2 linked regions of the Coturnix japonica genome follow. The protein of the gene in region 1 purifies or fractionates together with the protein of each later gene. This does not show direct contact. Links are inferred from orthologs where the notes say so. Each region holds a gene or a part of one and is shown in the gene's direction. Other genes may lie near its edges. The genes, in order: RRM1 and RRM2B.

What was found.
Region 2: the proteins of RRM1 (region 1) and RRM2B purify together in Homo sapiens (affinity purification with western blotting; 3 studies listed by BioGRID and IntAct, counting the BioPlex papers as one, with this or other methods). This does not show direct contact. The link is inferred for Coturnix japonica from reciprocal best matches to the Homo sapiens genes RRM1 and RRM2B.

The regions. Positions count from the first base shown.
Region 1 is NC_029516.1:174,288,741-174,291,503, reverse strand, and holds part of RRM1 (ribonucleoside-diphosphate reductase large subunit), read left to right. Parts: intron 1-59; coding exon 60-136; intron 137-425; coding exon 426-561; intron 562-1,440; coding exon 1,441-1,536; intron 1,537-2,363; coding exon 2,364-2,552; intron 2,553-2,763. UniProt on the Homo sapiens protein: Provides the precursors necessary for DNA synthesis. Catalyzes the biosynthesis of deoxyribonucleotides from the corresponding ribonucleotides.
Region 2 is NC_029517.1:117,701,847-117,706,125, forward strand, and holds the start of RRM2B (ribonucleoside-diphosphate reductase subunit M2 B), read left to right. Parts: upstream 1-1,353; 5' UTR 1,354-1,406; coding exon of another isoform or gene 1,407-1,460; intron 1,461-2,634; 5' UTR 2,635-2,750; coding exon 2,751-2,810; intron 2,811-2,917; coding exon 2,918-3,073; intron 3,074-4,279.

The DNA.
Region 1 (2,763 bases):
AGCAGGTCGATTTACAGCATGTTTAATGAAGTACAGAGAAAACAATTTGTGTCCTGCAGATTCTCCAGTATGACATGTGGAATGTCACCCCGTCCGATCTGTGGGACTGGAAGGCTTTAAAGGAGAAGATTGCAAAGTGAGTAACTGCATGGTTAGATTTAAATGCAAACTGCATCGGGTATGTTATGACTGAAGACAAAAGGCTGACTGCAAGAACTCAATTGGCTCTATATATTTCCCTGTAATTTCCTTCCCCTCATAGGTTTTCTTTGTGGATGGCTACACGCAGGGTGTGCCCACCCCATGGGCTCTGTTCTAGCTGAGATTTCTGCATGTGTGAGCTGAGAATCTCTGATTTGTTCCTGGGTCTTTCCTCTCCTTTCTCCCTTGGTTGAAGCTTTTTAACTCATGGCTTTCATTGCCAGGTATGGCGTCAGAAACAGCCTTCTCCTTTCCCCCATGCCAACTGCTTCCACTGCTCAGATCCTGGGCAACAACGAATCCATTGAGCCCTACACCAGTAACATCTACACACGCAGAGTCCTTTCAGGAGAGTTCCAGGTAAGCACTTGAGGCAGCTTTGCCAAAGAGCTTTTCTGTAGTTGTAGTTTCAATAACTTTCATCATTGGAAAAGACAAAATGGAGCCTACTGATTGACTGTGCTCCTGTGAAGAAAGGTTGAGGGAACTGGGCTTGTTTAGCTTGGAGAAGAGAAGGCTGCGGGGAGACCTCATTGTGGGCATCCGGTACTTGAAGGGAGCATATAAACGGGGGGGGGGGTGGTTGTGAGGGTGGGCAGTGATAGGACAAGGGGGGGGGAATGGTTTTAAAGTGAGACAGGGGAGGTTCAGGTTGGATCTTAGGAGGAAGTTTTTCCCCCAGAGGGTGGTGACGCACTGGAACAGGTTGCCCAAGGAGGCTGTGGATGCCCCATCCCTGCAGGCATTCAAGGCCAGGCTGGATGTGGCTCTGGGCAGCCTGGGCTGCTGGTTGGTGACCCTGCACACAGCAGGGGGTTGGAGCTGGATGCGCACTGTGGGCCTTTGCAACCCAGGCCTTTGTATGGTACTCAGTTCAGTTGGATATTTATGTCAAAAGCCAAAAATGCTGAGGAGAACCTGTGACCAGTGTGCCTGGAAAAAATAATCCACTTAATTAGACCTTGACAGCCTCTGCTGCATGGGTCAGGTGCAGGGCTTCTGGAGAGATACCCCAACAGTCCCAGCAAGCAGAAGTTTGCTTAGTGTTAACTGGAGAATGAAAGTTTGGCAGTGCTGCACAAGGTCTTGTGTAGGTGTTGGAAAATCTCTCTGCATGTTGGTGTGGGTTTTTCTCCTCTATGTGGAAAACCTCCTCTAGGAGGTGCATCTGTGCTGTAAGTCAGGGCACGTAGCTTAGAGTATACAGTGCTCTCATTCCTTGGCCTTTGCTGCTCACAGGTTGTGAACCCACATTTGTTGAAAGATCTGACGGAGAGGGGTCTGTGGAATGAGGAGATGAAGAACCAAATCATTGCCCACAATGGCTCCATCCAGGTATGCAGGGAAATGAGAGGGGGGGGAGATGGCTGGGACTCCCTCCAGAGGAATGCTGGTGGGACAGCTGGGAGCAGGTTTGCTATGCAGTGATTTTAAGGTCTGCTGTGCATGAATGACTCAACCAGCCTGGGAGGAGAAGCCTCGGTCTGGAACATTTCCTTCAGAAAGTTGAGGGAATGTGCCTGAGCTGTAATTTGTTCCTGCTGGAGCTTGCCCACGGAACAGAGAATTCCAATGGAAATATGCAGCTAATTATTACTTGAACAAATGGAGAGCTGAGCTGCTTTGCTTTATGCAGATTCCACAACTATTTGGGTTCCCCTTTATCACAGAGACTGGGGAGGGGTAATTTTGTAGCAGTGAGTGGGCTTGAGACAGGAGCTGAGTCCATGGCATCCAGATCTGGAAGGTGTGTGTAGGAGAGTCTGCATGGGATGGATTATTTGTGCTCTGGGGATTGAAGTGCTGCTGTGTTTGGAGTCACACGCTAAAAAAAGGTGCATCCTACTCATGCAGTTGGACATGAGTGGGAGTGCTGAAGTGCTTGAAGAGCCTCACGACTATTTAGGACGAAACATGAACATCCTATTTGAAAACAGCTTTTTTCCTCTTAAATTCTCCACCATAGGGCACCTTCTGAGAGCAAGCGAGGTTTCTTTGTGCTCAAGTGCTTTCAGATCCCCAATGTTTGGGTTCAGTGAGGGAGCTGCAGCTGCAAGAATAATACTGTGGTGACATCAGTGGTTTGTGAAGGGTTTGTAGGCATGAATATGAACGTTTGAGCAGTCACGGCTTATCCTGCGTTGAAAAACTCTTCCTTTCAGAATATATCTGAGATCCCCGCTGACTTGAAGCAGCTCTATAAGACGGTGTGGGAGATCTCCCAGAAAACTGTCCTCAAGATGGCAGCAGACAGAGGAGCTTTCATCGACCAGAGCCAATCTCTCAACATCCACATTGCAGAACCCAACTACGGCAAACTCACCAGCATGCACTTCTATGGGTGGAAGCAGGTATGAGGGGGGGGATGGCTGGGAGGTTTGTTCAGAACAAGAGAGCAAATGGGTACTTTCATGGGAAAATTGGCCTCGCTGACTCTTAGAAGGGGAAATGACCTCCCAAGAATCCAGTGTTACCAGTGGAATGTCTCTCTTGAGCAATAAAGCTGCAGATTCTGTGGCATTGCTCCCATTAGTTGTGCCCATGAGACATCACTATGACCAG
Region 2 (4,279 bases), on another chromosome or scaffold:
GTTCACCAATGGAATTTGTTGGTGTTTGCTGGGTCAGTTGGGTTCCTCTCATCATTTGCTCTGGATCAAGAAATGGAATCCTTGGTACTCAGTATGTGAAAGAATGGAGCGCTAGTTGAATGTGGACATTAGACAGCATGTAAGGGTATGTTTGGGCAATGAAAGTGGCTCAAAAAGAGCGGTAGTCAGGTAACAGCAAATGCTTGTATAAGACTGTATTTTCTCCTATTATGCCTGTAATATATTCTGGTACGCTGTTCAGTAGTGTGACTCTTAGGTATGTGTTTCTTGTCAGAAAACTCCATTTAAGGAAATCAAACCTGTTCTATGTTTGGGACCAGCAGTCAGTCACCCTGCTGCACAGGTCTGGTCACCAAAGCTTCCTAACCACCATCCCTGAGCTCCTTTACAGGGCTTAAAGAGTAAAAGCCACTAAGGGCAGATACGGTCCAGAAGAACTGAACACGTGTTTCAGCTCCCAGTTCTCACACATGATGGGGATGGTGCGGTGAGTGCGGACTCTTCTCCACGAGGAACATCAGACCTCCACATCCTTATCTCCTCCTCCTCGACTGCCTGTTCCTGGCACTCTGAGTGCTCCTCTCTGCAGTGTCTCAATCCTGGATGTGTGTCAGCAAACTGTCTTGGTGCTCATAAATTATTTTCCTTTCTCATTGGTGTTTGCTTTCAGATTTGTCCAGTTTCAAACCATTGTACCAAACCACTCCCTACTGTATGGAGCAGGGCTTTTCTACTCTCTCCCACCCCCCTTTTGATTGTGCTGACAAATGACCCCGTGCATCCACATGAACTGGAGCCCAAGGGCCGGGCCGGTCTGGAGACGAGGAAGAGGAAACAAAGGAACTCTGGCGATTGCAGTCTCTCGCAGCAATCTCTGTTGGTAAGAAGTGACTGCAATAAATGACGAGCATCATAGCAGTGCGTTCACTCACACTGCTTGCTCGCACAGACCCTGCAAGCAAGTCCAGGGCAAGGGCTGAGAGTTCTACATCTGGAAGTACGGCTGTTACACAATTGCTCGAATGTATTCTGAGATGTTGTCGCATGGGTTGGTTGGGTTCCGTCGTGTGCTTTGTATCTCGCTGACACTTTGAGGCGATGTATCAGAGCCAGCTGAGAACGCTGCCTTGCTCAGTTCTGCTGGCTGGCAGTGCTGTAGCAACGCCGAAGCCCGGTGGGTGAGGTACGGCTCAGCCGGGCCAAAGCCGGGCTAAGGGCCGGGCTAAGGGCCGGGTTAATGGCTGAGGGCCGGGCTGAGGGCCGGGCTAAGGGCCGGGCCCGGAGCAGTTTGCACCGCCTCCCGCCGGGCCCCGCCTCGCGGAGGAGGGGCGGCCGCGGCCGTTCCGCCCTCAGCCGGCGGCTCCTGCGGCCCAGAACCGCGGGCCATGGGGGAACAAGGAGGGCGAGCGGGCCTGCAGGAGGAGCCCGGGCCGGAGCGGGTAAGGGCGGGCGGGGCGACCAGCGCAGTCGGGCGGGGAGGCAGCGGCAGAGCGGAGTGAGTGCGGAGTGATCACACGACGGCCCCAGGCTCCGGCCCGGCCTCGGGGTTCGGTGTGCGCCCCGCACGGCTGGGGCCGGGCCGGCTCCTCTGCGGGCGAAGCAGAACCCGCCTCCGTGTCGGGAAGGGGAGGTAGAATCCTCTCTCCCCTCCTTATCCCTGGGTCTGAAGGGCGCTGCTGGGGAGCTGCCCGGGGCTCTTGCTGCGTCCTCAGGGCACGGTCAGCGCAGCCGGGCCTGAGGGCGTGAAGCTAAAGGTGTGCGAGGGAGAAATACACCATGTCCTTACAAAGGCTGGGTTCCGGCTGTACACAAGCTGATGGAAACTGGGATGTGCTGTATTAAGTACAAGCCTTAAATATACATCTATACACGCACGCTTATGTCTTTAATCAGTGTTGTGCTGTTCCCTTAATGCAGCTGATTTGCTCTGACCTGCCAGAAACAATTAGCAGAGCTTTGCTCTTCCCTCTGGGGTGCAGAGCCACCAGGTGCTCCTGTGAGACCCCACCTGCAGCACTGTGTCCAGGTCTGGGGCTCCCAACACGAGAAGGACGTGGAGCTGTTGGAGCAGGTGCAGAGAAGGGCCATGGAGATGATTAGAGGGCTGCAGCACCTCCCCTGTGCCAGCAGGCTGAGAGTGCCATTCTCTTCAGCTTGGAGAAGAGAAGGCTCTGAGGAGACCTTATAGCGGCCTTCCAGTACCTGAAGGGGGCCTACAGGAAAGCTGGGGGTGTGGAGTGGAGCCTCTGTTGTACACAGTGAGGCTGGGAGAGCTCAGCCGGCTTGGAGAGAATAGAGGAGATGGAGCCAGACTCTTCTCCGTGCAGCCAGTGACAGGAGGTTCCACCTGTGCATTAAAAACCCACTTTCTTGCTGTTCGGGTGGTCAAACACTTCTTCTATACACCAGAAGTGTTTTCCAGGTTATCTTTCTACATGATGAGCCCCGTGTGCTGTTTTTTAGAGGCTCAGGTACATCACAGTGGGGTTGAGGTGCAGGCTGCCCTTGAGAAACCATTGAGCAGCACTGTCACCTTGCATGCGTCCCCACCATGTTTGACGGCATCTTTTGAGGGCGCAGTGCAAGTGCAGCTGCAGTTTCCTCCTTGTACAGCAGAAAAGTGTTCCTTTGGGCCCTCAAGAGGTGCAGCTGCTCAGGGGCTGGTTGATGTGAGAGGTGTGGAACAGAGCAGGGCAGGAAGGCAGTGCTGCTGCCTGAGCAGGGCACGGATGGAGGGCAAAGGGGTGAGCACCCCAGGGAAGAGTGATGCAGCCACCTGTGGGGAGAGGGTGAGTGTCTGCCTGCGACAGTGGGCTTTTGGGCTGTATTTTTGTGACAGAGGGAAAAGTAGGGAATAGTAACAGCAGCCTTAACCAGGACTGTGCTTTATCTTCAGAGCTCCTCTCCAAGTGAAGCTGAAAATGGCTTGAAACCTCACGAGGAGCCTCTTCTCAGAAAGAATCCCCGTCGGTTCGTCATCTTCCCCATCCAGCACCCGGACATATGGAAGATGTACAAACAGGCCCAGGCCTCCTTTTGGACAGCAGAAGAGGTGAGCTTTGGGGCATGGAGCCTGGAGTGTCATCGCTAGCCCTGCTGCTGGCTTGTGATTTGTATGGGTTGGGGTTAGTTCTATAGATCATGAGGTACCTGTGCTGAAGTAGGACTCCCTTCAGGGTCAGTGGAAGGAAAGCTGCTTCCATCAGGTGGTTCAGCTGGCCTGATTTGAGTGTTAGGTTTAGGATGAGCGGAACTGTATCCTGGGACACTTCTCTGGGTATAGGGGAGCCTGTGTCAGAGGTATAGAGGCTGTGACCTGCTGCGGTCACTGTCTGCAGCTACCTCCTTGCTCATGTTAAAGATTCGGAGCACATGAGAATGCTGCTCTTTAATATTAGGCACTTATTTTTCAGAAAGGTGATGATGCTGTCTGGTGTCAGGAGAAGCTGATTTAAACAGTTACGAAGCACTGAAACTCCATCCTGAATAGCACTACTCTTACTGTATCACTGCTTCCTTCTTCCACTGTCCCACCACCTGTCAGCACATTTCCAAATGAATTGGAAAGTTAGATGTAAAATTGGTTTGTGTGTGTATTTATGCATGAGGATGAATATATATTTGTACATAAATTGTACCCACACACACGCAAGTCTAAAAGCTGCAGTTTTCCCACCTGGCCCCGCTTAACTGCTGCTGTGGCTCAGAAATGCCTTGGGAACAAACAGACAAAGAAAGATGGGCAACGCTAAGGAGCTTGTGGTTTTCTACCATGGTGAGAACCCAGTGGCACAGGCAATGCAGTTACTTTACACAGTAAACACAGTATCTACACGTGCTGTTCTTGGGTAGCATGGGGGCTGAACACCTGTCAAAAGCAACACTGCCTTCCATGCATCTTTTGACACACTTGGGTACAGGTTTCTTGCAGTACAAGCATTTATTTCTAGTAGAGTTTGTGAATGTCTCAGAGAGAGACCTGCCTGTAGATGCATGTTCATACTGATGCCAGTAAGGCTGATGCTTTTTGAAATCTGGTTTATTTATAACATGGAATTAAAACAATATATATTGAATGACAATAGTGTAAACTGCAAAGCAAACACAGGGTGTTGCTGTTGCAGAGAAACTGCAGTACTGTGGTAGTTTATTGTGCTTGATATTTGCATGTATTTAAATTCTCTACATGCAAAGATTGTGCCAAAGCTCTGTCTCAGTTGTTTGACGAGGCCACTTTTGTTCCTACAGAATAACAAGC